4 linked regions of the Arabidopsis thaliana genome follow. The protein of the gene in region 1 purifies or fractionates together with the protein of each later gene. This does not show direct contact. Each region holds a gene or a part of one and is shown on either strand. Other genes may lie near its edges. The genes, in order: PUR4, UBA 2, AT3G18860 and UBA1.

Region 1 (7,622 bases):
AATCACAACAGAAGGAAAAAGAAATTTTTTTCGAGGCCATGGCTTTAATGAGCTGTTCCTTGATGAATCTCTCGTCATTTAAAAGAATGGGAAGTTGATCGGAGAGGCACGGAGGTCAACGGCGACGATTCTTGAAAAGAGAGCCAACTGTTCAAGAACTACAACATAGAGATCGTTTTTTTGTTGTTGTTTTGAGATAAAAATAGAGAAGCCCATTTTTATATGTTATTCATTATAGTAATGGCCCAAGATGCTTAATATACTAATGCCCCAATAGTGTTAAGGCCCATAAGCCCATATTAGGGCTTCTTCTTCGTTTTTCTCCCTCGAGTAGCAGCAGCAGCCTTTGGATATTCGGCGGAATCGAAAATGGTCAAGGGACGCCAAGGAGAACGAGTCAGGTCTTTCTTCTTCTATTTCTCTTTTCGTTCTTCTTCAAGTTTGATCTATATCACCAAGATGGTTTTCTATCGGTGTATCATTTGAGATTTGCTCTGTTTTCCTCACTTCTGAAACTGTTTTGCTACTATTGTTATTGTCTAGATTTGAGCTGATTCTTCATGGTTTAGTAATCTTGTAATCATCGATAATGCGAAAGTCTGATTCTTTTTATGTTATCTAATTTTGCAGACTCTACGTGAGGGGAACCATCCTCGGATACAAAAGGTGACCCATTTCTTTCATCGCTTTCGTTTTCCATTTTACACTGCTTATAGCTTATGATTGGACGCCAATAAGATTCCATGTAATGAACGTTGATTGGTATTTATGTAAGCCAATTTGACAGAAACGAGTCCTATAACCAAGCTTCTCGTCCACTTATGATCAGATTATGTGTCTGATGCTTTCACTAAATGGGAACATTTTGACTCTTGATTAGTTAGTTGTCTACATTTCTTAGGACACTTATCTGGCATTTTATTTTTGAGCTGCTTTGTATTTCTATTAATCAACACTGTTGTTAACTGAGTTCTGCTTTAATAACCTTGTCATGCTGAAAACCGAGACCTTACTGTTTGATACTTCCTCTGGTCTGACATTTACTATGGTGTGCAGGTCGAAGTCCAACCAGTATCCAAACACGTCCCTCGTCCAGATCGAAGGAGTTAACACTCAGGAGGAGGTAAACTGGTACAAGGGAAAGAGGATGGCTTACATCTACAAGGCTAAGACAAAGAAGAACGGTAGCCACTACCGCTGTATCTGGGGAAAGGTTACCAGGCCTCACGGTAACAGCGGTGTTGTCCGTGCCAAATTCACATCCAACCTTCCTCCCAAGTCCATGGTACTTAAACAGATTCTATAATCATCTTCTCTGTTTAGAAGTGAAATCTTTTGCTTGGGTTTTTAACAAGATATTATTCCTTATGTTCTTGCAGGGAAGCAGAGTGAGAGTCTTCATGTATCCGAGTAACATATGAAGCAATGCAAAAATGGCTTAAACTTATAATTTAGCCGCCTTGGTTTTGTTCACTAGTTTGTTATTTTGTATTTTGATATTGAAAGCATTTCCTTTCTTTGTTTGAAGTGTTTGGAGATTCTCTAAATTGACTTTGATCATGGATCCGGTTTTTCATCCCAAATTAGACTCCCTTTTCCCCTTTTATAACGAATTAAAACAGACGAATGGTAACATATTTTCTCAAATCACTATTACAACTTTATAATTAGTTCTTAGAAACACTTAAATTCTCAGAATCATCCATGGCATATGTTAATTGTTGAAGTCTGAAAATCGAAAATCACTCAAAATAATCAAAAAACAAGAGCTGATTGAAGTTGTAAACTGAAACATTTGAAACTCGATTTGTGATATCGGCCCTTAGGCCCATTAGACCTTTATTGGGCTTACCTAGGCTCAACTTTAGAATTTTCAATCAGAATTTTGTTCTCATGTAAACAAAAAAGTACCAACAAACCTAAGATTCGTTGAGAAGAGAGACCAGACAAGAACTCTGTGTCGACTGCCGTACTCTCGGAGTCGGAGCTTCGGTCCCGTTAAGACAGTAACAGAGAAAAACCCTAAACCCTCTTTTCACTTTGTTTGCTGTTCCGGTCATATCTCGCGACGATGAATACCTCCCAAGCAACTCGTGCGGCTCTGTTTCTAAACGTAAATATTCTCTTACTGCTATTCTTATCAGTGGTCCAAGTTTTGTGTCGATTGATCGATGAACTTATTTGATTCCGTTCTGTTGCTTAATCTTTTCATAGATTGATTATAAGGATGATTTCGAAAAGTACTTTATATTGAGAATTTGAAGTTCTGTTGATGTTGAATGCAGTAACTTAGGACTCTGATTTACTGGAAACTTCTTGGTATTTGGCATCCATAATGTTTTCGTTTTAACAAGTTAGTGTTTTTTTGCAGGGTTCCAATAGACAAGCGATGCTTTTGCAGCGGAGCTCAATGAGTCAATTGTGGGGTTCTGTTAGAATGAGAACTTCACGGCTGTCTCTGAATCGAACAAAAGCTGTTAGCTTGAGATGTTCTGCTCAACCTAATAAACCTAAAGCAGCTGTTTCTACTGGTTCTTTTGTTACTGCTGATGAGCTACCAAGCTTGGTTGAGAAACCTGCTGCTGAGGTTATCCATTTTTATCGCGTGCCTTTGATTCAAGAAAGCGCGAACGCGGAACTCCTCAAGGCTGTTCAAACCAAAATCAGCAACCAGATTGTCAGTTTGACTACAGAACAGTCTTTCAATATTGGGCTTGAATCCAAGTTAAAAGATGAAAAACTTTCTGTTCTAAAGTGGATTCTTCAAGAAACATATGAGCCAGAGAATTTAGGTACTGTTATTTGCATGCTATATCATGATATGGTTACAATATTGTTAGGCCTCTCTGTTATTGACGATTGAGTTAAATTTCAGGTACGGATAGTTTTCTTGAGAGGAAGAAGCAAGAAGGACTCCATGCTGTTATTGTTGAAGTTGGCCCCAGATTGTCTTTCACAACAGCATGGTCCACCAATGCGGTTTCGATATGTAGAGCATGTGGGTTAGACGAGGTGACTCGCTTGGAAAGGTCAAGGAGGTACCTTTTGTTCAGCAAGGAGCCACTTTTGGAAAATCAGATAAAAGAATTTGCTGCAATGGTTCATGATAGAATGACCGAGTGCGTGTACACTCAAAAGCTGGTTTCATTCGAGACGAATGTGGTTCCAGAAGAAGTGAAGTATGTGCCTGTGATGGAGAAGGGTCGGAAGGCGCTGGAAGAAATCAACCAGGAGATGGGTTTAGCCTTTGATGAGCAAGATTTGCAGTATTATACTAGACTTTTCAGAGAGGACATTAAGCGTGATCCTACCAATGTGGAGCTATTTGATATCGCTCAATCCAACAGCGAGCACAGTCGACACTGGTTCTTTGCTGGGAACATGGTTATTGATGGAAAGCCAATGGATAAGTCTCTTATGCAGATTGTAAAGAGCACTTGGGAGGTAACAATAAAGGACTTAAGTCAAAATTTCTCTCCTTTCCTATAGTTTGAAATGTGTGTTCGTATAATTCACTCTTATCTTCTGTGTTGAATTTTGCAGGCAAATCGAAATAATTCTGTCATTGGGTTTAAGGATAACTCTAGTGCTATTAGAGGCTTTCTGGTGAACCAGCTACGGCCTCTACTTCCTGGTTCTGTGTGCTTACTTGATGTCAGTGCACGTGATCTCGACATATTGTTCACTGCTGAAACCCATAATTTCCCTTGTGCTGTGGCTCCTTATCCTGGTGCTGAGACAGGTGCTGGAGGTCGAATCAGAGATACACATGCAACAGGAAGAGGTTCTTTTGTGGTTGCATCCACTTCTGGTTACTGTGTTGGTAACCTTAACATGGAGGGATCTTATGCTCCATGGGAAGACTCGTCTTTCCAATACCCATCGAACCTAGCATCACCTCTACAGATACTCATCGACGCTAGTAATGGTGCATCTGACTATGGTAACAAATTTGGAGAGCCCATGATTCAGGGATATACTAGGACTTTTGGAATGAGACTGCCAAGTGGGGATAGACGAGAATGGTTGAAGCCGATTATGTTCAGTGCAGGGATTGGACAGATTGATCATACTCATATAACTAAAGGGGAGCCAGAGGTTGGGATGCTTGTTGTTAAGATTGGTGGACCTGCTTACCGCATTGGCATGGGAGGAGGAGCAGCTTCGAGTATGGTTAGTGGCCAGAATGATGCAGAGCTTGATTTCAATGCTGTGCAACGTGGAGATGCTGAAATGTCTCAGAAGTTGTACCGTGTTGTTCGTGCTTGTATTGAGATGGGTGAGAAGAATCCTATTATCAGCATTCATGATCAAGGTGCTGGTGGAAACTGCAATGTTGTCAAGGAAATTATTTATCCACAGGGTGCAGAGATTGACATAAGAGCGGTTGTTGTGGGTGATCATACTATGTCGGTGTTGGAGATATGGGGAGCAGAATATCAAGAGCAAGATGCGATTTTGGTGAAAGCTGAGAGCCGGGAGATTTTGCAATCAATCTGTAAGAGGGAAAGGCTTTCGATGGCTGTGATTGGAACAATTAATGGGGGTGGTCGCTGTACTTTAATTGACAGCACAGCTGCAGCGAAGTGCAGTAAAGAAGGGCTACCTCCACCTCCACCTGCTGTGGATCTTGAACTCGAGAAGGTTCTTGGTGATATGCCTAAGAAGACGTTTAAGTTCAACCGCATTGCTTATGCACGGGAGCCACTTGATATTGCTCCTGGAATTACATTGATGGATGCTTTGAAAAGAGTTCTCCGATTACCATCAGTTTCTTCAAAGCGGTTCTTGACAACCAAAGTGGATAGATGTGTGACAGGTCTTGTTGCTCAGCAACAAACAGTTGGGCCATTGCAGATCACGCTTGCTGATGTTGCAGTTATTGCACAGACATTCACAGATCTAACAGGTGGTGCATGTGCCATTGGTGAGCAACCGATCAAAGGCTTGCTTGATCCAAAAGCCATGGCTAGGCTAGCTGTTGGAGAGGCTTTGACAAATCTGGTTTGGGCAAAGGTCACTGCACTTTCTGATGTTAAAGCTAGTGGTAACTGGATGTATGCTGCCAAGCTTGAAGGAGAAGGATCAGCAATGTATGATGCTGCGATTGCTCTATCTGAAGCGATGATTGAACTTGGCATTGCAATTGATGGTGGAAAAGACAGTCTTTCAATGGCAGCTCATGCGGACGGTGAGGTTGTTAAAGCTCCAGGAAATCTTGTGATTAGTGCCTATGTTACCTGTCCAGACATAACAAAGACAGTGACTCCGGATCTAAAGCTCGGAGGTGATGATGGTATTCTCTTGCATGTTGATTTGGCAAAGGGAAAGAGGAGATTGGGTGGATCTGCACTGGCTCAGGTTTTTGGTCAGATAGGAAATGACTGTCCTGATCTTGATGATGTTCCATATCTGAAAAACGTTTTCGATGGCGTTCAAGCTCTCATTGCAGAAAACTTGGTATCTGCTGGACACGACATCAGTGATGGTGGACTGGTAGTAACAGCTTTGGAAATGGCTTTTGCTGGAAACAAAGGTATAAATCTCGACTTGGCTTCAAATGGAATTAGCCTTTTTGAGACTTTGTTTTCTGAAGAACTTGGTCTCGTGCTTGAGATTAGTAAGACAAACCTGGACGCTGTGATGGAAAAACTCCGTGCTTTCGATGTTACTGCTGAGATCATTGGAAATGTCACTGATTCGCCTCTGATAGAGGTAAAAGTGGATGGGATTACTCATTTGAGTGAGAAAACTTCATTCCTCAGAGACATGTGGGAAGACACCAGTTTCCAGTTGGAAAAGCTGCAACGATTGGCATCTTGTGTAGAGATGGAGAAAGAAGGTTTGAAGTTTAGGCATGAGCCTAATTGGAAACTCTCATTTATTCCATCCTCGACCAACAATAATTATATGTCTCAGGGTATGATCGCTCTCTATGAGGTTTTTTTTTATCTTTAATTATTTATATAGCGTATATTTTCTAATGAAAATGTTTGTTTATTGTATATGCTCTCAGATGTTAAGCCAAAAGTAGCAGTGATCCGAGAAGAAGGCAGCAATGGAGACAGAGAAATGTCAGCTGCATTTTACGCTGCCGGTTTTGAACCTTGGGACGTGACAGTGTCTGATCTTCTAGCTGGAGACATCACCCTTGATCAGTTCCGCGGTATTGTGTTTGTGGGAGGGTTCAGTTATGCGGATGTTCTCGACTCAGCCAAAGGATGGGCTGCTTCAATAAGGTTCAACGAGCCTGTGTTGAGTCAATTTCAGGAGTTCTACAAAAGACCAGACACGTTCAGTCTTGGAATCTGCAATGGATGTCAGTTAATGGCTCTGTTAGGATGGGTTCCAGGTCCTCAAGTTGGCGGGTCACTTGACACCTCGCAGCCGAGGTTTGTTCACAACGAATCAGGAAGGTTTGAGTGCAGGTTCACAAGCGTGACCATAAAGGACTCGCCATCGATAATGCTGAAAGGAATGGAGGGAAGTACTTTAGGGGTTTGGGCGGCGCACGGAGAAGGACGGGCTTATTTCCCGGACGAAGGAGTCTTGGACCATATGCTTCACTCAGATTTGGCACCATTGAGATACTGTGATGATGATGGGAACGTGACTGAAGCGTACCCTTTTAACCTCAATGGTTCACCGTTGGGAATAGCGGCTATATGTTCACCTGATGGGAGACATTTGGCGATGATGCCTCATCCTGAACGTTGTTTCTTGATGTGGCAGTTTCCATGGTACCCAACAAGCTGGGACGTTGAGAAAGCTGGCCCGAGCCCGTGGTTGAAGATGTTCCAGAATGCAAGGGACTGGTTAGAGTCGTGTTAAGCGTGTTTTTTTAGTATAATTTTTATCTGCATCATTTTGTTGTGCATTTGGTGTTTTGCAGAGTCTTTGAAAGTTGTCGACAAATCATGTGCTTTTTAGTGAGACTTGATGTGTGCTTTTTGTCCTTCACGTTGTATTCAAACTCTGGAAATTAAGCATGAGTTACTCTCTTCGATCAATCAAGCAATCTTGTGCCATTGGGTACTAAGTTGGGTTTATCTAACTCTGATATCTTGTATCCTACTTAGCTAATCAATGGAAAGTCTTCTCCCGTAAGTGAATCTCTTGAGAACAATGAGGCGCACATGGGAGGTTTTGAGATGCCAAACATGGATTTGACAAAGAGAAAAGGAACAAGTAATAGATTTCTTCTCTGCAAAATCATTGCTTCAAACATACAAGGAGTGGTATACAAACTTTGGTCATCAATTGGTTTGCAATACAATAATGTCAAAAACGCAGCTTATTTGCCCTCTATCCCACTTGTTCATTGTGTCCATGTATAAATTTAATCAAAGAATGCAAATCTCCAGCCAACCTTTGGTTCTTCTCTGCATAATCCTTAGATGCACTTTAAAATGAGCAATGGATCATCGGGATTTCACTGTCGCATGACCACTATCAGCCAAGTGCTTGTGTAGTTTTGTTCTGCCCAGCATGAAAAGTCACAATATTAAGAAACTACAGGTGAATGATACAAAGCACACTGCTGGAGCATAAGAGAAATGACGAAAGAACAAATATCTAATGAACCAACCTCGACTCAAACTCCTCTCCACATCTATCACATT
Region 2 (6,930 bases), on another chromosome or scaffold:
GACCGTGGTTTTCTCTAAGCAAGTCCAGGTCTTCCTCGATCTGCACTCCAACAAAAGTGACAAACTTGGAAGCAAAGAAACGGTACAGATCCTTGAGATTGTCATGAAAAGGTTTAGGAAGTCGAAGGAAGAGACATAAGTTTCTAGTGCTCAGCTTCACCGATGACAGACTCCACCCTGACGTTTTGGTTTTGGTTTCAGTTTCAGGAAACCCCACATCCCAGTACACATCGAAGATCACCGCTCGGTTTCCATTCAAGATAGAATCTTCTCTTATAAGTGAAAGGTATGGAGAGATATCTGTTGATGATCCAACATCAATGGTCTTAGTCTGAACATAGGAGCCATCAGTCATCTTGAACTTTGGCCCATCAAAGGAGGCCATGTGATGAAAAAACACTAAAGAATATTCACAAATCAAATTAGATTCAACGATAACTGACAAAGTTGTAGCTAAACTTATCTCAATACTAATAGAAGTGGAAAGTAAGATAGTGAATCCAATCATCACTCATATAACTTGAGCACCAATAAGGTTTCCTCTTTTTTATAAAAAACTACAAGTATTCATGAGTTGGAAACTTGGAGAAATTGGGTGAAGAAAGGACCACACATTGAATAAACAATGATCTAGCATCGAATTGATCAAAGTAGAGGTAAACAAACTTTTTTTTTAGTTTTGGCTACAAATACCATTGATCACTCCCCCTAGTTCTAGGTTTCATGACCTTTCTGTGCATCAAAAGATAACAAGAAAGAAGCGAAACTTTTTGTTCTATATCTCTTAGACTAATTAACTAATGGAGAAACAAAAACATTTGATTCTATCTTAGTTCTTGTAACCCAAAACGATCGATCCGAGAGATAAAATCCCCTAACTATCATCTGAAATTGGAATCATACTAGTCAAATTCAACTTAAAAGAGACATTAACTGATGAGAAGTTAAGAGGAGGACGAACCTTGAAATTTCGCGTCCGGTTAGGGATCGTAGTAAGCGAGGAACAGTTCTTCTGGTTTCTGCTGGAAGAGAGAAGACTAAATCCCCGCGAGGGAAGAAGAAATCACGAAATGGAGACACATTTCCTCAGCTTGCTTAACCAACCATACGTTAGTAATTTAAGCTGACCAATCCGGTTCAACCGAAATTCTATGTCTTTTGAATGTTTTTCTTGACTTTTTTTTTTAAGGGGTCCTTGTCAATCTTTGTTACCAACGCCAATTCACACAAGAAATATAATGTGAGACATTTTTCATCGTTATCATACAACCGTGAATATACTTGTCAAGCAATGTTGGTCAAATTCTCAAGATACAAGAGTTTTTTTTCACGCTAATGTAGTCACACTACAAATCCATTAATATTATTTTTTTCGTTTAGAAATCACACATAAAACATAGATTGTGTTTGTTGGTATAAGTGATAGAGAGAGCATCCCCATATCATTTTCCAAACACAAATGCTCACACCAAAATGGTTGAGTTCATAAGGTACATTTCCACACATTATGCTTAAGTTTCACTCTTATTACACTTCTTTGAAATGTCTATTAATCTTTAGGAATTAGCAAGTACGACACACATTCAAATATCCAACAACTACTCTCTCTTTATCAATCAACAAATAAAAAACAAAACTTGATTGATTAACAATTTCAAAGTTTAAATTCAATCACACCTAACCTGAATTAAAATTTGGTCTATTGCATACTCAAATCCGGTTCAATGTTACAAGACCAAAACCAGATATTTATCTTAAACTGGTCCACTTGAAAAAACGAAAAAACTTACCACACAACACAGGCTGATTCTGAATTCAGCACAAATAGTTTCAAAGCCCAACAATCATCGCCCAATTTTTGTTATATACCGCCGCTTCTTTCTACACAACCTACAAAGCCAAAAGCTTAGTATACTCTCTCTTTCTACTTTAACAACAAATTCGCCGCTTATCGCCTCCGATCTTCTCTCAAAGGTACGGTTTCGTTTTCATTTCCTCCGATTCTCGTTTCTTCTTCAGATTCCTTCATCGATTAGCTCTAGGAACCTTCTCATCGGAATTCATTTATTGTCTTTGTTTGTTATTCGAAGCTTCTTCTGTTTATTTGATACATATTCTCTTTCAGTTACTCTATATGGAACCATTCGTTGTTAAGGAGAACATCATCGCATCTGCTTCTTCGCCGATGAAGAAGCGACGGATCGATCACACTGAGTCAGCTGATGGTTCTGCGATTAACGCTTCTAACTCCAGTAGCATCGGTTTGAACAACAGCATCGGTGGTAACGATACGGTGATGAGCATGGCGGAGTTTGGTAACGACAACTCCAACAATCAGGAGATCGATGAAGATCTTCATAGCAGACAGCTCGCCGTTTACGGCCGTGAGACTATGAGGAAGCTTTTCGCTTCCAACGTTCTCATCTCTGGGATGCAGGGCCTTGGTGTTGAGATTGGTAACGATTTTTGTACTTTTCGTTGTTAATTTCTGCTTGCATGTTATTCCTGTGCTTGTCCTGCTGGTTGTTAAAGAGCTTCAAGCTTGAGCAAACGTATTTCGTGATTAAGCTGTTTTGATGTTGTGTGTACATTTGGGCACTTGAAGTTGAGATTGTAAAATTGGTATATTAACTTGTTAATCCTGATTTTCTAATGAGTTAGTGACACATTATATAATGGAAGGATTATTCAATATTCACTATAGATTTGTAATGAACTAATGACTGGTATAGCTCTTTATTCTCTTCGTTATTTCCTTCTTTCTGATGGATGATTTTTTTTTTTTTTTCTTATTTAGCCAAGAATATTATTCTAGCTGGTGTGAAGTCAGTGACCCTTCACGATGAAAATGTGGTTGAGCTATGGGACCTATCTAGTAACTTTGTTTTCACGGAGGAGGACATTGGTAAGAATAGAGCACTTGCTTCTGTTCACAAGTTGCAAGAACTCAACAATGCTGTGGCTGTCTCAACTTTGACTGGGAAGTTAACCAAAGAGCAGCTTTCTGATTTCCAGGTATCCAAACCCTTCCTTTATTTGGTTTGTCTTTGCTTCCTTGTTCTAGTTGTTAATAATACTATCATGATTCATGGACATAATTATCTGTAAAAGAGATTAGAGGTGACTGAACGTGGATGAAAACGTTTCTACTAAAAGTACAGAATGTTTGGCTTTAGTGGTTGATTTCTTTTTTTTTTCCTTGATGCAGGTTGTGGTATTTGTGGATATCTCTTTTGAGAAAGCGACAGAGATTGATGATTATTGTCACAGTCATCAGCCTCCTATTGCATTCATCAAGGCTGATGTTAGGGGGCTGTTTGGGTCTTTGTTTTGTGATTTTGGACCTCATTTTACTGTTCTTGATGTTGATGGGGAGGAACCTCACTCTGGCATCATCGCTTCTGTTAGCAATGAAAATCCTGGATTTGTTTCGTGTGTCGATGATGAGAGGCTCGAGTTTGAAGATGGAAATTTGGTTGTTTTCTCTGAAGTTGAGGGAATGACAGAGCTAAATGATGGAAAACCAAGGAAGATAAAAAATGTCAAGCCATTTTCATTTACCCTGGAGGAAGACACCTCTAGCTATGGGCAATATATGAAGGGTGGCATTGTGACTCAGGTTAAACAACCAAAGGTGTTGAACTTTAAACCTCTTAGAGAAGCACTTAAAGATCCAGGCGACTTTCTTCTAAGTGACTTTTCAAAGTTTGACCGACCACCTCTTCTCCACTTAGCATTCCAAGCACTTGATAGGTTTTCGTCTCAAGCAGGCCGATTTCCGTTTGCTGGTTCAGAAGAAGATGCTCAGAAACTAGTGGAAATTGCAGTTGACATTAATGAGGGTTTGGGTGATGCAAGGTTGGAAGATGTCAACTCTAAACTGTTGCGGCATTTGGCCTTTGGATCCAGGGCTGTTCTGAATCCTATGGCTGCAATGTTTGGTGGCATTGTTGGGCAGGAGGTTGTCAAGGCATGCTCTGGGAAATTCCATCCTATCTTTCAGGTAAAGACTTTTCTGTTTGGTTTTTCAGGGGCTCATCTGTTCGGTCTTTGTATGTTAAACTTCTACTTGTTGAGCAATGCTGTTCATCTATGTTATACAGGCATTTACTCTACATGAGTCCTATACCAGGACTAAAGTTTCTCTTCCCTTGTTAGTAGTATTTCTTTTATACTTGGTAATGTGGTAATTAGTTTGCATTATTTGTGCAGTTCTTTTACTTTGATTCGGTGGAGTCACTCCCCAAGGAACCTCTTGATGCATCAGAGTTTAGACCACAAAATAGCCGTTACGATGCACAGATCTCTGTATTTGGGTCTACTCTTCAGAAGAAACTCGAGGATGCCAGAGTTTTTGTTGTAGGGGCTGGTGCTCTTGGATGCGAGTTCTTAAAGAACTTGGCTTTGATGGGTGTGTCATGTGGCACCCAAGGGAAGCTAACTGTCACCGATGATGATGTAATTGAGAAGAGCAACCTGAGTCGTCAGTTTCTTTTTCGAGATTGGAACATAGGACAGGCTAAATCCACAGTTGCCGCAACAGCAGCAGCTGGAATAAATTCTCGCCTCAACATTGATGCTCTGCAAAATCGTGTTGGACCTGAGACCGAGAATGTCTTTGACGACAGCTTCTGGGAGAATTTGACAGTTGTGGTGAACGCTTTGGACAATGTCACTGCAAGGCTTTATGTTGATTCAAGGTGTGTGTATTTCCAGAAGCCTCTCCTCGAGTCAGGAACCCTAGGTGCAAAGTGCAACACACAGATGGTTATCCCTCACCTCACTGAGAACTATGGTGCCTCGAGAGACCCACCAGAGAAACAGGCTCCAATGTGCACCGTGCACTCATTTCCTCACAACATTGATCATTGCTTAACATGGGCTCGCTCTGAATTTGAGGGTTTGCTTGAGAAAACACCAGCTGAAGTTAATGCATACCTCTCAGATCCTGTTGAATACATGAAAGCGATGAGAACTGCTGGTGATGCCCAAGCAAGGGATACTTTGGGACGTGTTGTTGAGTGCCTCGAGAAAGAAAAGTGCAATTCATTCCAGGATTGCATAACCTGGGCTCGTCTGAGGTACTCTCTGTTGGCCCACACCCTTCATTGAGACTATATGTAAAATGATTTTCTTCTCTTTACATAATTGCTTGCTTACAGGTTTGAGGACTACTTCGCCAACCGTGTGAAGCAGTTATGTTACACATTTCCTGAGGATGCTGCTACTAGTACAGGAGCTCCGTTCTGGTCTGCCCCAAAGAGATTTCCTCGCCCACTCCAATTCTCCTCAACCGACCTGAGCCATATCAACTTTGTCATGGCTGCATCTATCTTGCGAGCAGAGACATTCGGAATCCCTACTCCTGAGTGGGCTAAAACCCGAGCAGGACTAGCCGAGGCTGTGGAAAGAGTAATTGTCCCCGACTTTGAGCCGAAGAAAGATGCAACTATTGTGACAGATGAGAAGGCTACAACTTTGTCTACAGCTTCAGTCGATGATGCAGCAGTAATCGATGAACTAAACGCAAAACTAGTGCGGTGCAGGATGAGCTTGCAGCCAGAGTTCAGGATGAAGGCAATCCAGTTTGAAAAGGTGAATCATAAATGTATCCAAGTATCTTTCAGATTCTGTATTTGAATTATAAGAGCAACAAACTAACATTATTTTGCTGTTCTTAGGACGATGATACCAACTACCACATGGATATGATCGCTGGGCTAGCCAACATGAGAGCAAGGAACTACAGTGTTCCCGAGGTGGACAAGCTTAAAGCCAAGTTCATAGCCGGAAGAATCATACCCGCGATTGCGACATCAACTGCAATGGCAACAGGTTTTGTTTGCCTTGAGATGTACAAGGTCTTAGACGGGTCACACAAAGTAGAAGACTACAGAAACACATTTGCTAACTTAGCACTTCCGCTCTTCTCCATGGCTGAGCCGGTTCCACCTAAAGTGGTGAAGCACCAAGACCAAAGCTGGACTGTTTGGGACCGGTGGGTGATGAGGGGAAACCCGACCCTAAGGGAGTTGCTAGACTGGCTAAAAGAGAAAGGGCTAAACGCATACAGCATATCTTGCGGAAGCAGTTTACTGTACAACAGTATGTTCTCAAGGCATAAAGAGAGGATGAACAGAAGAGTGGTGGATCTTGCAAGAGACGTGGCTGGGGTTGAATTGCCTGCTTATAGACGTCACGTGGATGTTGTAGTCGCTTGTGAAGATGATAATGATGCTGACGTTGATATCCCTCTCGTATCAGTCTACTTCGCCTGATTAGAGAATTTTAATTAACGTCCCCAACGAGAGAAGCTTTTAATAATTACTGTATTCTTGGGATATGAAGTTGAGTTTCAGAGATAGAGAGAGTTTTGATGTATGAGAATAGAGTTAACTTCTTAAAATTTAGAACTAAATTTTCAAATTTGGTGTTTTTCACTTATTCATTACAAACATAATACGATTAAACAATCCTAATACAAAACGTTTTTCTCACACATCATTTACTACAAAGTTAAAAATCAGATAGTTATTATTAGCTTATAACAGCAACTACGTACAAAGAGGACATTTCACAAGTCCATTCTCATTACATTCTCTGCATCTTGTCCACATATTATCATTACTACTCTCTTCATCGTGATGCTCTGCAAGCAATCTTGTGCTTCCATTGCAGCTAGAACATATCAAAAACCTTTCGTTCTCGCAAGACTCGCAAGGTGAATCAACCTGTGAGATTCCTTGTAGTAGCTTCTTCAGCTTCCCGTTCTCGTTCAATGCCACAACTTCTTCTGCTCCACCAATGTACCTACCTCTAATGAACAGCCTCGGAGAGGTAACTTTCCCACCAAGCAACCTCCACATCTCTTCTCTAAACTCTGAATCCATGGAAACGTCTCTCTCTCTATACATCACCTGGTGATTCTCC
Region 3 (7,661 bases), on another chromosome or scaffold:
AGAGGAAAGGCCTAGGATCTTAAATCACTGATGCAAACCAGCAAAAGTATAGACAAACCTGCGTCAAGTGAGCAACTCAGTTCTTGCAAGCAGGAGACGAAACCTTTTGTCCTGGGAAGCAGCACGTTGTTCAGTATCGGAAGGCCATTTTCAGCAGCAAATTTCTTACTCCTTTGGCATTTAGCCTCTCTGCATAAAGTTCCATTGTAAAATGCTTTTAACTAAAAGGTCTCTAAACAAGAATGATACTCCAAAGAAAGGAAACGTACGTGTAATCTGTGCCCTCGGGGAAAAGAGCAAGCCATAAAGCGTCTCGGGGATCCTTAAAACTCGAAACTATCTGTCTCAAGTTTGCTTCATCGACTTCCCATCTCCTCTCAACTGGAATAAACTCAAAGAGGTGAAACGCCCAACCAAAGAGAGGTAATTTCATCAAACTACTCTTAAGCACATATTTGATATTCCCAATCTGGCCTTTACGCAGTGCAAGATCCCAGAAGTACATCCAATCAACTTCTGTTCGGTGGTTTGCAATGAGCAATACTCGATCCTCGCAAGGAACCTTATCACCAGAGAAGATAACTTTGGTTTTGTTAATCTTCTCAAAGAGGAAAGGCCACAAGGCGAGCCACGAGCCAAAGAAGAAGGAAACACATTTACGGCTATAGCGAATGCTGAAAAGCCTCAACACTACAGCTGATAAGAACCCCCAGAATATCAACATCATAAAAGCTGTTGAAACTAACACCATCAGACATATTATACCTCTTAACACTCTAATCAGAGACAACTTATCAGAATTTGGTACACTCTTTTTTTCCATTTTATACACCTTAAGATAATCTAATTAACCTCCCCCTTCTAGTCTTCTATTCTTGATGCAATGAATCACAAAGTTCATGAATTTCCTGTTACCAGAATCACCATCAGAGCTCATATGGTTGAACACAACATACTTCACCTGCAGGTAATGATCAAAGACACATCAAAATAAGAATCGATAGCAAAGTACTTTATCAACAGAAAACGAAAACAATGTCTTGTAATTTAATAGACTTATTCAAATTCATACAATCTGATTAATGTTGGATTAAAATAAAGAAGAAGCTTGTATTCTCAAACACATATATACATTGTCTAAAACAAAAACTCTCACCAAGATAATCAAGATTCAAGCACAAATCTCAGTGAGGATTAAAAAAGCCAATCAAGAACACAGCATTTGTAAAATTTATTATTGGAAAAAAGAAATTCAGACAGAGAAAGGAACCAGATAGAAGAAGACAGCTTACCATGGAACTGAGCTTCCAGGTTTTATTTATAAACAAACAGTGCAGAAGAAGAAGAATTTAATGGCCGAGAAAAATATCATGAAGGACTACGATCGTTTTGTGAAAATAGGCTCAGAGGTTGTTGCTAATTACGGTCTATGCCACTTCTCGTAGAAAGTAGTACTCTTAGGAAGGTGAGGAAATTTAAACCACTGTCCCCTCCTTTTTCGTCATTATTAAATTCGACACGTCATCGTGTTTCATTGTTCCCTTTATTCAGCTTATTATTATTTTCAGTCTATCAATTGGGCCGGGCTTTGAAAGCCCACAAAGGTTATTTATTATACGTTTATCCTTATATAAAAGAAAGGAAATAAGAAATTAGTTTTTCTCCTGCAGAGTGTTTCTCCTTCCTCAAGTCACTTTTTGAGTCGCAGCAATTTGGCGTTTGGTATCTCTCAATCTGCTGCTTCTCCTTCTCAGTCATGGTCATGGATATCGATTTCAACGAGTACAAGCTCAGGTGCGAGCTTCATGGCCACGATGATGATGTAAGATCTCTTTGCTAAATCCACTTCTTCTTTCTACTGTTTTGATTTCTCGTTTTCGTGATCGATTCTACTCTAGATTTTGAAATTAAGTCTTGTATTCAGTAGGGTTCAGCAAAATTCACCCTCGTGATTCCAATTTCACTGTTCCGCTTTTGATCCAGGGTTTTTCAATTCAATGAGCTGATTTGATAGTTAGTGTGAAGCTTTGTTTTGATTAGTTTTATTATTAGGTTGACTTCTCAACGAATTTGTACTCAATTTGAGAATTTTATCTAATAGGGTTTGATGTTTAACCTTGCGTGCCAATGGCATTAATATAGATCAAATTTATACAATTTTTCGGCAGGAGTGTGATTGTCTTTATGCTATTGAGCTTATGCAATTGAATAATAACTGTGATTGTGACAATGGAAACTCATGGTTTATCAACATCTTCAGGTTCGTGGGATTTGTGTGTGTAATGATGAGAATATAGCTACTTCATCAAGAGATAGGACCATAAGGGTTTGGTCACTGGATCCATCTGATAAGCGCAAGTATACCTCCGAGAAAATTCTGCTGGGTCATACTAGCTTTGTTGGGCCACTTGCATGGATCCCACCAACTGATGAATACCCTGAAGGAAGACTTGTCTCTGGGAGTATGGATACTTTCGTTTTTGTTTGGAATCTGATGAATGGAGAGAATATTCAGACATTGAAGGGTCATCAGATGCAAGTCACTGGTGTTGCTATTGATAATGAGGACATAGTTTCATCTTCAGTTGATCAGTAAGTCCTCCTGTTCATGTAATTTCCTTAGTATGACATTTACCAACTGTTTAGTCAATAATGCCTCTTACTTAGTATCCAGTGAGTGTACTAGCCTGCGGTTTTCCTTCACTGTTTCCCAGGAATTGTATCACATACAGGATATTATATGAATCTTAACCGTAGTTGTAAAGGTTTTATGAGTGTTAATTGTGTGCATTATTGTCTTGAGTAGCTTACTAGCTTTAGTAATACTGGGGTAAAGAGATCCATCAAATTTTGATTTACCCTCTACTGTTGTGTAATGTAACTTACATTTATTTATTTTTATTTGTAGAACCCTGAAACGATGGAGAAACGGTCAGCTTGTTGAATCTTGGGATGCACACCAGTCGCCTATCCAGGCAGTGATAAGGCTGCCATCTGGTGAGCTCGTTTCAGGTACATGATCCAGCTAAAGCTGTCATTTGATGCATTTGTTTCTGTTTTTTTTGTTGTTTTCTTGCTGCCATGGACTTCCTTATTCGATTGTATTTTCTAGTATGATCGTTTTGCAAGCTTAGGTTAAATGATTTTTTGGTTGTTCTTAAGATGCATATACTTCTTTTTGATTAGGCTTGACGGCATATTTTTCACTGATGTTACTTGTACTTACCAGGTTCAAGTGACGCCAGTCTCAAACTCTGGAAGGGTAAAACGAGTCTGCAAACTCTTTCAGGGCATACAGGTGAATTCATTACTCTCTCCCAAATTTCGTATCTCTCAAAATTTCCTTGTCAATATGAGAAACTGCATACCGGAAATAAGATAGAATCTGATACTAGCTGCTCTAAGATATCTTATCTTGTGAAGTGCCAAGACACTGGCCTGTTGTCAGGGATTCCTTGTTATTGGAGAAACTATTGTCTTATACAAGTATTTTTATTTTACAATGCAGATACTGTTAGAGGGTTAGCTGTGATGCCTGATTTAGGATTTCTTTCCGCATCACATGATGGGTAAGTTATTTGCTTCCAACAAACTCATGCCTTACTGAATTTCATTGTCCAAGTGAATCCTTATGTGCTTAACTCGAATTGTGTTGTCTTTTGCATGACCTGGATAAGTTTTGTGATCCGGGGATAATATGATACTTGAGTTTTCTCTTATTTATCCTTTCATGTGTTTGTACACAGCAAAGGTTGTAAATCACTATTTTATTTTTTCTAACAGTTCAATCAGGTTATGGGCACTAAGTGGCGAAGTTCTTCTTGAGATGGTTGGCCACACCTCCCTTGTTTATTCAGTTGACGCACATTCGTCTGGCCTTATTGTTAGTGCCAGTGAAGATCGTCATGCCAAGATATGGAAAGGTGATTACGGGTTCCTTAGTTTCTATTGATGCCTTGGCTGTTCTTCACTTATGTTTCACAGTTTTCTAGGTTATATGAGGTCTGAGATGTTTAAATTTGGAAAATATGTCTCCACTTTTCAGTATGTTGCTCGCTCTTAAAGTTTTCTTTCAATAATAAAGATGTCTATATATCATATTTTTGTGGAAGACGTGTTATAAATTTGATCACTTAGTTGCAACCTATGGAAAGTTAGTTGTTAGTATGTCAGACAGTAATCAACTGATCAGAAACCAGTTTGAAAGGCTCACGAAGATTGGTCTGCAATAGCTGTTATAATAGATATCACTTGCGAAAAGAGACTGACATTTTGGTTTAAAGCATGTTTAGATCTTATAGGTTGATCTATTGTTCTTACTTTGTTATTTTTGTTTTGGTACAGATGGAGTCTGCGTTCAGAGTTTGGAACACCCAGGCTGTATCTGGGATGCCAAGTTTTTGGAAACCGGAGATATTGTGACAGCATGTTCAGATGGAGTGGTTCGTGTTTGGACAGTACGTCATGATGCGATTGCAGATCAGATGGAGATTGATGCCTATGATTCCCAAATTTCTCAATACAAACTAAGCAGGTAATCTGATCATTTATGGTGATCTCTATTCTTATCGACTAAATTCTATGTCCATTGAGTTTTTTTTCTTCACGTGGCAATGCATATTATATGACCTGCTGACGGGGTATGCTTTCTTGTCTTTTATGCTCAAAATATAACTGCAAAGTATATGCGTGCTGTTCTTTATCTCAGGAAAAAGGTTGGCGGATTGAAACTTGACGAGCTGCCAGGGCTTGATTCTTTGACGTCACCAGGTACCATTTATTATCCAATTAATTGTAATATTAATGTTTCGTACGGGAGAAAGGCTAAATTTTAAAGAATCTCAAGAGAACACAAAGATAATTGATAGTGTCTGGCGATCAAATTTGAATAGATTAAGCTGGCATTCTTGTAACATCATCCTCTCTTATTTGATATATGTTCTCAGGTACCAGTGATGGCCAGACAAAAGTAGTAAGGGAAGGAGACAATGGTGTTGCTTATGCATGGAATATGAAAGAACAGAGATGGGACAAAGTAAGTAAACAGAATGAACTTTTATCTTTTTTTTTATTTGTCGACTGCATTTCGTTTTTGCTCTTGACCTGAATGCGGCTTTGCTATATATTAGATCGCATGCATGAATATACAGATAACTTCCCTTTGAAACAATTACCTTGAGGAATATTTGTTACTTTGTTCATCGAAAAGTTGCCATCGGATTAGGGCTTGTAATTTCCACGAATGAGCATGCTGTCTGGTCATAAATTGATAGCATGTACTGCCAGCAATTTGCCTTTTGCGAGGATTTTATTTAATGTGGCAACCCATACCTGAGAGGAAAATTTCATCTGATTTTGACTTCTGATCCTCCTTCGAAGTAGCAATCTCTTAAGTAGATAGCAAGTAAATGAGATAGATTTCTCTCTAACATTTGTTTGCATATGAAGGATTAAACATTGGCTTTTTAGTGTGGTAGAATGTTTTGAGTTCTCACTGCATGCCTTTTTTCAGATTGGTGAGGTTGTTGATGGCCCAGATGGTGTGGCTGATCGTCCAATTCACGAGGGAGTTCAATATGATTTTGGTTAGATTTTGACCTATTATGGAAACTTGAGAATCTCTCAAAATCGAAGAACAAAATTCTTAGCCCTTTTTTTTCTCTAGTTTTCGATGTTGACATTGGTGATGGGGAACCTATCCGGAAGCTACCTTACAATCGATCAGGTACCTGAATGCTCTTACTGGCCTTGTTTTATTACAAGTGCAACCACAAGAAACTGCTTCAGTTTTTGATACTTCAAATCTTTTCTTGTTTGGCAGACAATCCTTATGATGCAGCTGACAAGTGGCTTCTAAAAGAGAATCTCCCCTTTGCATATCGGCAGCAAATTGTTGAATTTATATTACAAAATTCTGGGCAGAAAGACTTCAACTTTAATCCATCTTTTCGTGATCCCTTCACCGGCGGTATAAAATTTTTGAAAATAATTGGTCTGAAATTTTGTTTTTAGGATTTTATTTTAATTTTGTGTTTTGCCTTTTATTGTGTAACAGCAAATGCTTATGTGCCTGGGCAAGCATCTCGTACAGCTGGTATGAATACACTGTCTGTGTCATTTTCACATAATACTTTCAATTTCTTCATTTCTTGTATTGTTCTTTTGCTGCCTCATGCTCTGACTCTTTTCTGTTGCAGCAACTCCGGCAAAACCTTTATACAAGCACATTCCAAAAGTACGCTGGTTCTCTTTCTTTATTAGTTATTACTGTTTAATGTTTCTAGCTTTTTGATCCTTTTTTCTTCCATAACTCTCTCCAGAGAGGTGTGCTAGTTTTCGATGCTGCTCAATATGACGGGATTCTGAAAAAGATGACAGAGTTCAATACTACTTTACGATCTGACGCAGTAAGCTTTCAGTATCAACTTTAGTCACACAAAATGATTAAATGGTTATTTTACTTATACTATTGTTGGTATTTATGTTTCTACAATTTTTCCATCTTTTGAAGGTAAACAATGACAAGTCCCTGACCGAACTCGAAGTATCCAGAGTAGGCGCAATCGTTAATATACTGAAGGACACATCACACTACCACTCTACCAATTTTGCTGACATGGATATTGCTTTGCTTTTGAAAGTGCTACAAGCATGGCCACCGGCAATGATGTTTCCTGGTTGGTCTTCTCTTGTCAATCAATTAGTCAAACAGAACTGTTTATTACATATTGAACTTTTGATGGTAGCCATATGTTTCTCAATATTATGAAGCCACAGCAAAGTCAGTTTTTTCCGAGATGCTTGTTAAACAATCTAAAATGAGATATGTTTTGGTTTATTTGGATGTTATTCTTGGTCTCCTTGTGTTTCTTTTGATGTTTCTTGCAGGCCATAAAGCATTTTGCCTTTCGCTGGCCACTTTATTTTTGTCTTTTGTTGGATATAGCCTTATGTTTATCTTGTGTCAAGCTCTTATACCTATGGTTTTGAATATGCAGCTACTGATATAGTAAGGATGCTCGTTTTGCATCATCATGGAGCAAGTCTACTTATCAAGCATGTGGAAAACAACAATGGTAATCATCTAATTCGTGAAGCTATGCTTTCTCAACATTAATGAAAGTACTAGCTAGTAGGTAATGTCCTTTATTAACTGGTATCTCTCTGTTACTATATATCAATCAGACCTGCTTTTGGATTTGATAAAGAAAGTTACAGAAGATTCTGCTCTTCCTGCAAATCTTTTAACGACTGTTCGTGTCCTTGTTAATCTATTCAAGAATTCTTCATTTCATTACTGGCTACAGACGCATCATAGTCAAGTAAGGACTCTTTCATTTCTATGATTTTATACCAGAACTAGGATGTGTGATGATCTCGATGAACCTACTAATTGGTTTAGCTGTGACTTGCAACCTGAGGAGAAATTTTTGGGTTTTATGTCTAATATACATTGCTTTTTTGCGTCTGGGCATATAAATTAAGTTTCTAATTACATTTAAACATAAGATAGTGCCTATACATGTGTGTGTTTATTATAATAATTTGAGAAGTGGTTTTAATTGCTGTGGATCAATGCAGATTCTTGATGCCTTCTCAAACTGTTATTCATCCCCAAATAAGAATCTGCAGTTGGCTTATTCGACGTTGCTTCTCAAGTA
Region 4 (7,646 bases), on another chromosome or scaffold:
CACGTTCTAAGTGTTCGTACTCTCCTCTTACGAGTTACAAGATTGAAGAGGTTTCCATCCTATAAAGACGATCAAGAATATATAATAAGAAATGCTTACTTTAATCAAGTCAATCTTCTCTTGATGTATCACAGGTCTTCACCTACCTTTTCGTAGTCACGAAGCCATTTTTCTTCTTCCTTAGCTTGCTTCCAGGTTTCAACTGCATCTATTATGCCTTTCCTTCTTAAAGCTTCAGATTTTGCTTCCTCATATTAGCATCCAATGCAGCACCAATATCAGATAGAGCACGATCACCTGACAAGATAACTTATCTTTTAAGCATATCTAAATTGCTGTTTTTTTCTTACAAATAGAAGAGTTCTTCACTTACCCTCATTATCAGTTAGCTCAATACTGCCTGTCGAGCTCGACAAAATGCCTTTAACTCGTATTGCTTCTGAAGTACATTCACCTTCAGGGTTTCCCCAGTTTTAGTTTTCTTTGCCACTTTGTCAGCCTTGTCTTTATTAGCAATCCTCTTCGTTTTGGGAGCACCAGTGGATTCCTTTCTTTTACCAGCATCATTAGTACTCGTCTTGGGAAGATATTTTGCACAACTCCATTTTTGTTTTTTCTTAGGGTGATGAATGACTTGGCCTGAGGTGAGAAATTGAGAGTGTAGAGACTTTTGCCTTTGTAGTTATACTCTGCCAAACTCCATCCTTTTAGCCAATCATCCACAAACTCTATGGGTAAATCATCATGATACCTTAAGTAAGCTAGTTTAGAAGAAGTGCTCACAACTTCTTGACCCATTTGAAACTGATGAACATAGTAATTGACACTGCCCCACTTTATAAGAGCACCATTGCAATTAAAATATCCAAGATGAACATTTTTAGTTGGATAAAAGAAGACCCACGACTTGTTGCTTTCTCCCTCTAGAAATTGAAAGTTGATGAAATCTCACTCCCATGGACTGCGATCAAATATTTCAAGATCGTCTATCCATGGAATTGCAACATCAACTCCAAAATCTACACTTTTAACCAAACTAATCATAAGTTAAATTTCAATTTACAATCGTTTATTAATATAGTGATTAAGTAAGTTATCAAGTATTAATTTATAGAGTTTTATTTTTGTATAAACTAACCACGAGTTAAGGAGGTGTTATTGGTTTATGATTTCAAAAGAGTTTTAGTGACTTAAAGTATCATGTAGAATCTGTTGTTATTTAATCAAAAAAATTTAAAAGTATGTTAAAAGTTTGTGTTATTCATTAAAGATTTGTAAAAAGTAATCTAAAAATCTTCATAAATTTTAGATTATTGAATTCATACTTTTATAAAGTCAGTAAATTTTTTGTGTTATTCTATTAAAACAAAAAAATCTCTGATTGTTTATGATTTAAATTATTATGTTATTGGTTCATGACTTTCTACATTTTCTTTCACAAAATAAAGTCATAGAAAGTCATGAATTTTTTTTCAAAAGATTGTTTTGAGAAACTTTAGAAGAAAATGTATTTAATTATAATATTCATAGCTGGAAATTGATCTAATATTTAATTATAATATTAAAGTTTCCAGTTATCCAAAAGAAGATGTGAGTTTTTTTGAACTTGGTAATTAAAAAAAGAAAGCAATATTTCAGATTTAATACAGATTCATAAGAAGGATCCATAAGAAATTAACTAAACCGGATCTGGTCTTGAAATAGTGACGGACGCGTGTCCCCCGGTCAGAGAGTTGCCGTCACAATCACGCGGAGAAAGAGCGACAAATCAAACCTTAACCGTTAAAACGTCATCGTTTCATATCCCCCCACAACCGAACCCCTTTCGTTCGCCCGTCTCTCTTAAATAAATCTTAGAGATTTCTGCAAAATTCGTCACTTCAATTTCAATTTTCAGATCTCAAAAACTTTTTCTCTTTTCCGATTCCAATCTTCTCTCGTCTGCTTTCCTCAAAGGTACGTTTTATCTTCCTTCTCATAGCTTCCGAAGAATCAATCTAGGGTTAGGTATTTCAATTCTGATCGGATTTTCTCTCTTCAGTGTTCTCTAATCTAATGGGAATTTCACATGTTTTCTCCAGGTTTTTTCATCACTTTATGCTTCACAAGCGAGCTAGTGAAGCTAACGATAAGAACGATAATACCATCATCGGTTCCGATTTAGCATCATCTAAGAAACGCCGTATCGATTTCACTGAATCTTCGTCTGATAAGTCTTCTTCGATTTTAGCTTCTGGTAGTAGCAGGGGTTTTCACGGCGATAGCGTCGTTCAGCAAATCGACATGGCTTTTGGTAATTCGAACCGTCAGGAGATTGATGAAGATCTGCACAGTCGCCAGCTCGCCGTCTATGGTCGTGAGACTATGAGGCGTCTCTTTGCTTCCAATGTTCTCATCTCGGGGATGCACGGTCTTGGTGCCGAGATTGGTATGTACTTCATTGGTTTTATGTTGAGATTGTGGTCTCCCTCGTCTCTTTGGTTTTTGAAACTTGTAGAAACACTGTTTTCGTATGCGTCGTTATTAGAAGCTGTGAATAATTGTGTCATCTTCAAAGATTTTACTCTTTAGTTGTTTTGTTTTGGTTCTCCTGATCTGTGATTGCTGGTATTCTTCAACATCCAAATCTTAGTAGCTTCCTGATGTTCCTTAGTTGTTCGATATCTTTGTTATTGGGGTTTCGTTATATGCCAGTTTTCTAAGATGCATGGTAAATGTGAACTGTTAATGATACTTTTTAGTCGATTGCTTTCTCATTCAGTTTTTGTTTTATTTGTTGATTTTCTTCAGCCAAGAATCTTATACTTGCTGGTGTGAAGTCTGTGACCTTGCATGATGAAAGAGTTGTAGAGCTATGGGACTTATCAAGCAACTTTGTTTTCTCGGAGGATGATGTTGGCAAGAATAGAGCAGATGCTTCTGTTCAGAAGTTACAGGATCTTAACAATGCTGTGGTTGTCTCTAGCTTGACCAAAAGCTTAAACAAAGAGGATCTTTCTGGCTTCCAGGTTTGTAGACAACTCATTTGTCTTGTTATTGGTTCTATATGGTCTGAGTCTTTTGTGTACTGTATCGTTCTGTAGATTACTTGTGAGTTTATGATAACACTGTAACTGAATGAGTAACATAAGAGTGGGTTGTTCTATTTTCGTTGCATATAAGAGATGGGTTTTGTCTCATTTAGTGTTAGGCTATTTCTAGTGTTTATTGATATTGATATGGAAGATTGGTGTACACTTTTCTCATTGGTGTGTGTTTCTTGTTGGCGGGTTTTACGCTGATACATCTACTTTTGTGCCAAACAGGTTGTTGTATTCTCTGACATAAGCATGGAAAGAGCAATCGAATTTGATGACTATTGTCACAGCCATCAGCCTCCTATCGCTTTTGTCAAGGCTGATGTCAGGGGTCTTTTCGGCTCTGTCTTTTGTGATTTTGGGCCTGAATTTGCGGTTCTTGATGTTGATGGAGAGGAACCCCATACAGGCATCATTGCGTCTATCTCTAATGAGAACCAGGCATTTATTTCCTGTGTCGACGATGAGAGGCTTGAGTTTGAAGATGGTGACCTAGTTGTTTTCTCAGAAGTTGAGGGTATGACAGAATTGAATGATGGGAAACCAAGGAAGATAAAAAGTACACGGCCATATTCATTCACCCTTGATGAGGACACTACTAACTATGGAACATATGTGAAGGGTGGTATTGTCACTCAAGTGAAACAGCCAAAGTTACTGAATTTCAAGCCATTGAGGGAAGCGCTTAAGGATCCAGGGGATTTTCTATTTAGTGATTTCTCTAAGTTTGATCGGCCTCCACTCCTTCACTTAGCATTCCAGGCACTTGATCATTTTAAAGCTGAAGCTGGCAGATTTCCTGTTGCTGGCTCAGAAGAGGACGCTCAGAAGCTTATATCGATTGCCACAGCCATCAATACCGGGCAGGGTGATTTAAAGGTGGAGAATGTTGATCAGAAGCTTCTAAGACACTTTTCCTTTGGAGCCAAGGCTGTCCTGAATCCTATGGCTGCAATGTTTGGCGGTATTGTTGGACAGGAGGTTGTTAAAGCTTGCTCTGGAAAATTTCATCCTCTCTTCCAGGTAAAATTTCTTTTCTATAGACTTGTGAGAACACATATTTAGTCTTTGCATGCCAAGTTCTCTGTTCGAGTTAAGAATTTTAAACACTAGAATTTAAACTCAAAGCTCTCTTTTGTTAAAACCGAATCAAAGTAACAAGACAGAAGTTGAAATACACCCAAGAGTAATTAATTCCTAAGCTCTCTTCATCCCTATGTAATATATTAGAAGCTAAATGAAAGCTGTTTAGATAAAGTAAATAAAGAAATAGAAATTCTAATGAAAATAAGGAACATTATCTAATACGCATCTCTCCTTTTTCCTAATGTTTTATGTTGTGGGAAGTTACAGCTGTTTCCTCTTTTTTTGATACATTTATATTGTTTAAAGTTTCGTATTGGGATCTGATGTTGTGACTCTTTTTGTTTATCAGTTTTTCTACTTTGATTCAGTGGAGTCACTCCCCTCTGAACCTGTGGACTCGAGTGACTTTGCACCAAGAAACAGCCGGTATGATGCCCAAATATCTGTATTTGGGGCCAAGTTCCAGAAGAAACTTGAAGATGCTAAAGTTTTCACAGTAGGGTCTGGTGCTCTTGGCTGTGAGTTCTTGAAAAATTTGGCTCTGATGGGGGTTTCTTGTGGAAGCCAAGGGAAGCTGACAGTGACAGATGATGATATCATTGAGAAGAGTAACCTCAGTCGTCAATTTCTGTTCCGTGACTGGAACATTGGACAGGCTAAATCCACAGTTGCTGCTTCGGCTGCTGCTGTTATAAATCCTCGCTTCAACATTGAGGCCCTGCAAAACCGTGTTGGCGCGGAGACTGAGAATGTATTTGACGATGCCTTCTGGGAGAACTTAACTGTTGTCGTCAATGCACTGGATAATGTTAATGCGAGGCTCTATGTTGATTCGAGGTGCTTGTATTTCCAGAAGCCTCTCCTTGAGTCTGGAACTCTTGGTACAAAGTGCAACACACAGTCGGTTATCCCACATCTAACTGAAAATTACGGTGCCTCAAGGGACCCACCAGAGAAACAGGCCCCCATGTGTACAGTGCATTCCTTCCCGCATAACATTGATCACTGTTTAACTTGGGCTCGCTCTGAGTTTGAGGGTCTGCTGGAGAAGACTCCCGCTGAAGTGAATGCATATCTTTCTAGCCCAGTTGAGTACACTAACTCAATGATGAGTGCTGGTGATGCTCAGGCGAGGGACACATTGGAGAGGATTGTTGAGTGCCTTGAAAAGGAGAAGTGTGAGACCTTCCAAGACTGCTTAACCTGGGCACGACTGAGGTAATATCACTCTTAATAGTTAGTTAGATAGTCTAGTCGTAATATGGAATGAAATATAGTCCGGTGTCTTACTCATGTCCTGCTACAGTCTCCTATTTTATGCTTTTGTCATGTGCTTCATCCCAGGATTGCTTAATTATTCGTTGAAAACATCATTACGAAACTAAAAAATAAAATAAAAAACTAGGAACAGTGTTATAAGGTAACTTCATTTCACAACAGGTAGCTACAACCAATATGTAGAAGTGGGAATAAATCGTTTCCTTCCTCTGTGGAGTCTGTGATTTTTGCAATAATTTATGTGTTTGTTATGTTATGTGACTAGGTTTGAGGATTACTTTGTGAACCGTGTCAAGCAATTGATATACACATTTCCTGAAGATGCTGCGACTAGTACCGGAGCTCCATTCTGGTCTGCTCCAAAAAGATTCCCTCGTCCACTCCAGTACTCGTCGTCCGACCCAAGTCTCCTTAACTTTATCACAGCGACTGCTATTTTACGAGCAGAGACATTTGGGATCCCGATACCTGAGTGGACTAAGAACCCAAAGGAAGCAGCAGAAGCTGTTGACAGAGTGATAGTCCCAGACTTTGAGCCAAGGCAAGATGCAAAGATTGTGACTGATGAGAAAGCTACCACTTTAACCACTGCTTCGGTGGACGACGCTGCAGTCATCGACGATCTCATTGCTAAGATCGACCAGTGTAGGCATAACTTGTCGCCAGACTTCAGGATGAAACCTATTCAGTTCGAAAAGGTATATTACCCTCCAATGTTATCGTCTTCACTGATATTGACTTGTCTTGTTTACAATTTTTAACTGAGTGTTGTCATTTTGAATTTGATGTGTTTGTAGGATGATGATACAAACTATCACATGGATGTGATAGCAGGACTAGCCAACATGAGGGCGAGAAATTACAGCATCCCTGAAGTGGACAAGCTGAAAGCAAAGTTCATAGCAGGGAGAATCATCCCAGCCATTGCGACTTCAACAGCCATGGCTACTGGGCTGGTCTGCCTCGAGCTGTACAAGGTCCTTGATGGAGGACATAAAGTGGAAGCTTACAGAAACACATTTGCCAACCTGGCACTTCCACTATTCTCCATGGCTGAACCACTTCCACCAAAGGTGGTGAAGCACCGTGACATGGCTTGGACAGTTTGGGACAGATGGGTTCTCAAGGGAAACCCAACTCTTCGTGAGGTGTTGCAGTGGCTGGAGGACAAAGGGCTTAGCGCATACAGCATCTCTTGTGGAAGCTGTCTTCTGTTCAACAGTATGTTCACAAGGCACAAGGAGAGGATGGACAAGAAGGTTGTGGATCTCGCTCGGGATGTTGCGAAAGTCGAGTTACCGCCTTATCGCAACCATCTTGATGTAGTGGTGGCTTGTGAGGATGAAGATGACAATGACGTCGATATTCCTCTCGTCTCTATCTACTTCAGGTGAAAAGTTTCGAGAGAATGAAGAAAGATGAAACTCTTGAGAGCAAATTTGTGTGTTTTGTCTCTGCATCTGCCCTACGTTATTATCTTTTGGATGCTTGTGGGTGAGATAACTGATTTTTACTTGAGGGGGATAGAGACTCATTTTATCTCTCTCGTTCTATTTTAGTCTTTCTTTCTATGTACAATTGCTGAATGTGTGGTTTACACACCCGTTACCTTCTAAACATGTTCTATCAAACAAATCTTCGAGTTTTTCGGTTTTTTCCATGTCTTCTTGCAGGTGGTGTTTCGCGATAAGAATCCGAAAGATATAATCTACCTTAAATAATATCCACTCTGTGAATCTATTTACAGAGAACAAATTGAAGCAAAGAACTAAAGATATAATCTAGGGTCAAGTCTCGAGCACCACCTTCTCTTAACCCCAACCCAAGATTCTAGACTCAAAAGCTGTTTGCCTTTACTTCCTTTTTACCGGTTATACTGACTGACTCGGCTATAGAATTGATGAGCTTTTTTAACAATAGGTATCGTAGTTTTCGTTTATTCGGTTTCATTGCATAAATTTTGGATTCAATTTGAGAGTGGTTCAATTTATTTGGTACACTACAATTCAAATTGGAGTAAGCAAACAATATATAGGCATGAAGGAGAAAGATTTTTTCACTGAAAGTGCCACAAATATATTAAGAGTACTGACGATTCGAGACTCGACTTGGCTTGATCACCAAGATTTATCAGCGCCTTCGTCGAATTGGCCAGATCCCACAACACGAAAATCAAGCTGCTTTTGATGCTTGGTACGTCTTCTT

Evidence for each region.
Region 2: the proteins of PUR4 (region 1) and UBA 2 fractionate together in Arabidopsis thaliana (co-fractionation; one large-scale study listed by BioGRID). This does not show direct contact.
Region 3: the proteins of PUR4 (region 1) and AT3G18860 fractionate together in Arabidopsis thaliana (co-fractionation; one large-scale study listed by BioGRID). This does not show direct contact.
Region 4: the proteins of PUR4 (region 1) and UBA1 fractionate together in Arabidopsis thaliana (co-fractionation; one large-scale study listed by BioGRID). This does not show direct contact.

The regions. Positions count from the first base shown.
Region 1 is NC_003070.9:27,922,214-27,929,835, reverse strand, and holds PUR4 (purine biosynthesis 4), read left to right. Parts: upstream 1-1,873; 5' UTR 1,874-2,071; coding exon 2,072-2,113; intron 2,114-2,371; coding exon 2,372-2,792; intron 2,793-2,875; coding exon 2,876-3,444; intron 3,445-3,543; coding exon 3,544-5,920; intron 5,921-6,016; coding exon 6,017-6,831; 3' UTR 6,832-7,111; downstream 7,112-7,622. Other genes in the region: AT1G74280 (alpha/beta-Hydrolases superfamily protein), read right to left, coding at 1-78; AT1G74270 (Ribosomal protein L35Ae family protein), read left to right, coding at 370-401, 631-666, 1,057-1,285, 1,380-1,421; AT1G74250 (DNAJ heat shock N-terminal domain-containing protein), read right to left, coding at 7,422-7,479, 7,589-7,622. UniProt on the Arabidopsis thaliana protein: Essential to the male gametophyte development. Phosphoribosylformylglycinamidine synthase involved in the purines biosynthetic pathway.
Region 2 is NC_003076.8:1,968,105-1,975,034, forward strand, and holds UBA 2 (ubiquitin activating enzyme 2), read left to right. Parts: upstream 1-1,855; 5' UTR 1,856-1,974; intron 1,975-2,125; 5' UTR 2,126-2,134; coding exon 2,135-2,456; intron 2,457-2,797; coding exon 2,798-3,015; intron 3,016-3,208; coding exon 3,209-4,003; intron 4,004-4,212; coding exon 4,213-5,081; intron 5,082-5,162; coding exon 5,163-5,595; intron 5,596-5,681; coding exon 5,682-6,278; 3' UTR 6,279-6,423; downstream 6,424-6,930. Other genes in the region: AT5G06450 (Polynucleotidyl transferase, ribonuclease H-like superfamily protein), read right to left, coding at 1-385; AT5G06470 (Glutaredoxin family protein), read right to left, coding at 6,555-6,930. UniProt on the Arabidopsis thaliana protein: Activates ubiquitin by first adenylating its C-terminal glycine residue with ATP, and thereafter linking this residue to the side chain of a cysteine residue in E1, yielding a ubiquitin-E1 thioester and free AMP.
Region 3 is NC_003074.8:6,500,018-6,507,678, forward strand, and holds the start of AT3G18860 (transducin family protein / WD-40 repeat family protein), read left to right. Parts: upstream 1-1,650; 5' UTR 1,651-1,756; coding exon 1,757-1,822; intron 1,823-2,260; coding exon 2,261-2,592; intron 2,593-2,908; coding exon 2,909-3,012; intron 3,013-3,229; coding exon 3,230-3,298; intron 3,299-3,508; coding exon 3,509-3,569; intron 3,570-3,783; coding exon 3,784-3,923; intron 3,924-4,344; coding exon 4,345-4,534; intron 4,535-4,708; coding exon 4,709-4,770; intron 4,771-4,946; coding exon 4,947-5,035; intron 5,036-5,512; coding exon 5,513-5,585; intron 5,586-5,665; coding exon 5,666-5,725; intron 5,726-5,821; coding exon 5,822-5,968; intron 5,969-6,055; coding exon 6,056-6,094; intron 6,095-6,197; coding exon 6,198-6,235; intron 6,236-6,320; coding exon 6,321-6,407; intron 6,408-6,511; coding exon 6,512-6,677; intron 6,678-6,998; coding exon 6,999-7,076; intron 7,077-7,185; coding exon 7,186-7,322; intron 7,323-7,581; coding exon 7,582-7,658; intron 7,659-7,661. Other genes in the region: LPAT5 (lysophosphatidyl acyltransferase 5), read right to left, coding at 59-189, 270-823.
Region 4 is NC_003071.7:12,851,821-12,859,466, reverse strand, and holds UBA1 (ubiquitin-activating enzyme 1), read left to right. Parts: upstream 1-1,739; 5' UTR 1,740-1,956; intron 1,957-2,081; 5' UTR 2,082-2,097; coding exon 2,098-2,428; intron 2,429-2,790; coding exon 2,791-3,008; intron 3,009-3,305; coding exon 3,306-4,100; intron 4,101-4,512; coding exon 4,513-5,381; intron 5,382-5,706; coding exon 5,707-6,139; intron 6,140-6,238; coding exon 6,239-6,835; 3' UTR 6,836-7,138; downstream 7,139-7,646. Other genes in the region: AT2G30105 (LRR/ubiquitin-like domain protein), read right to left, coding at 7,559-7,646. UniProt on the Arabidopsis thaliana protein: Activates ubiquitin by first adenylating its C-terminal glycine residue with ATP, and thereafter linking this residue to the side chain of a cysteine residue in E1, yielding a ubiquitin-E1 thioester and free AMP.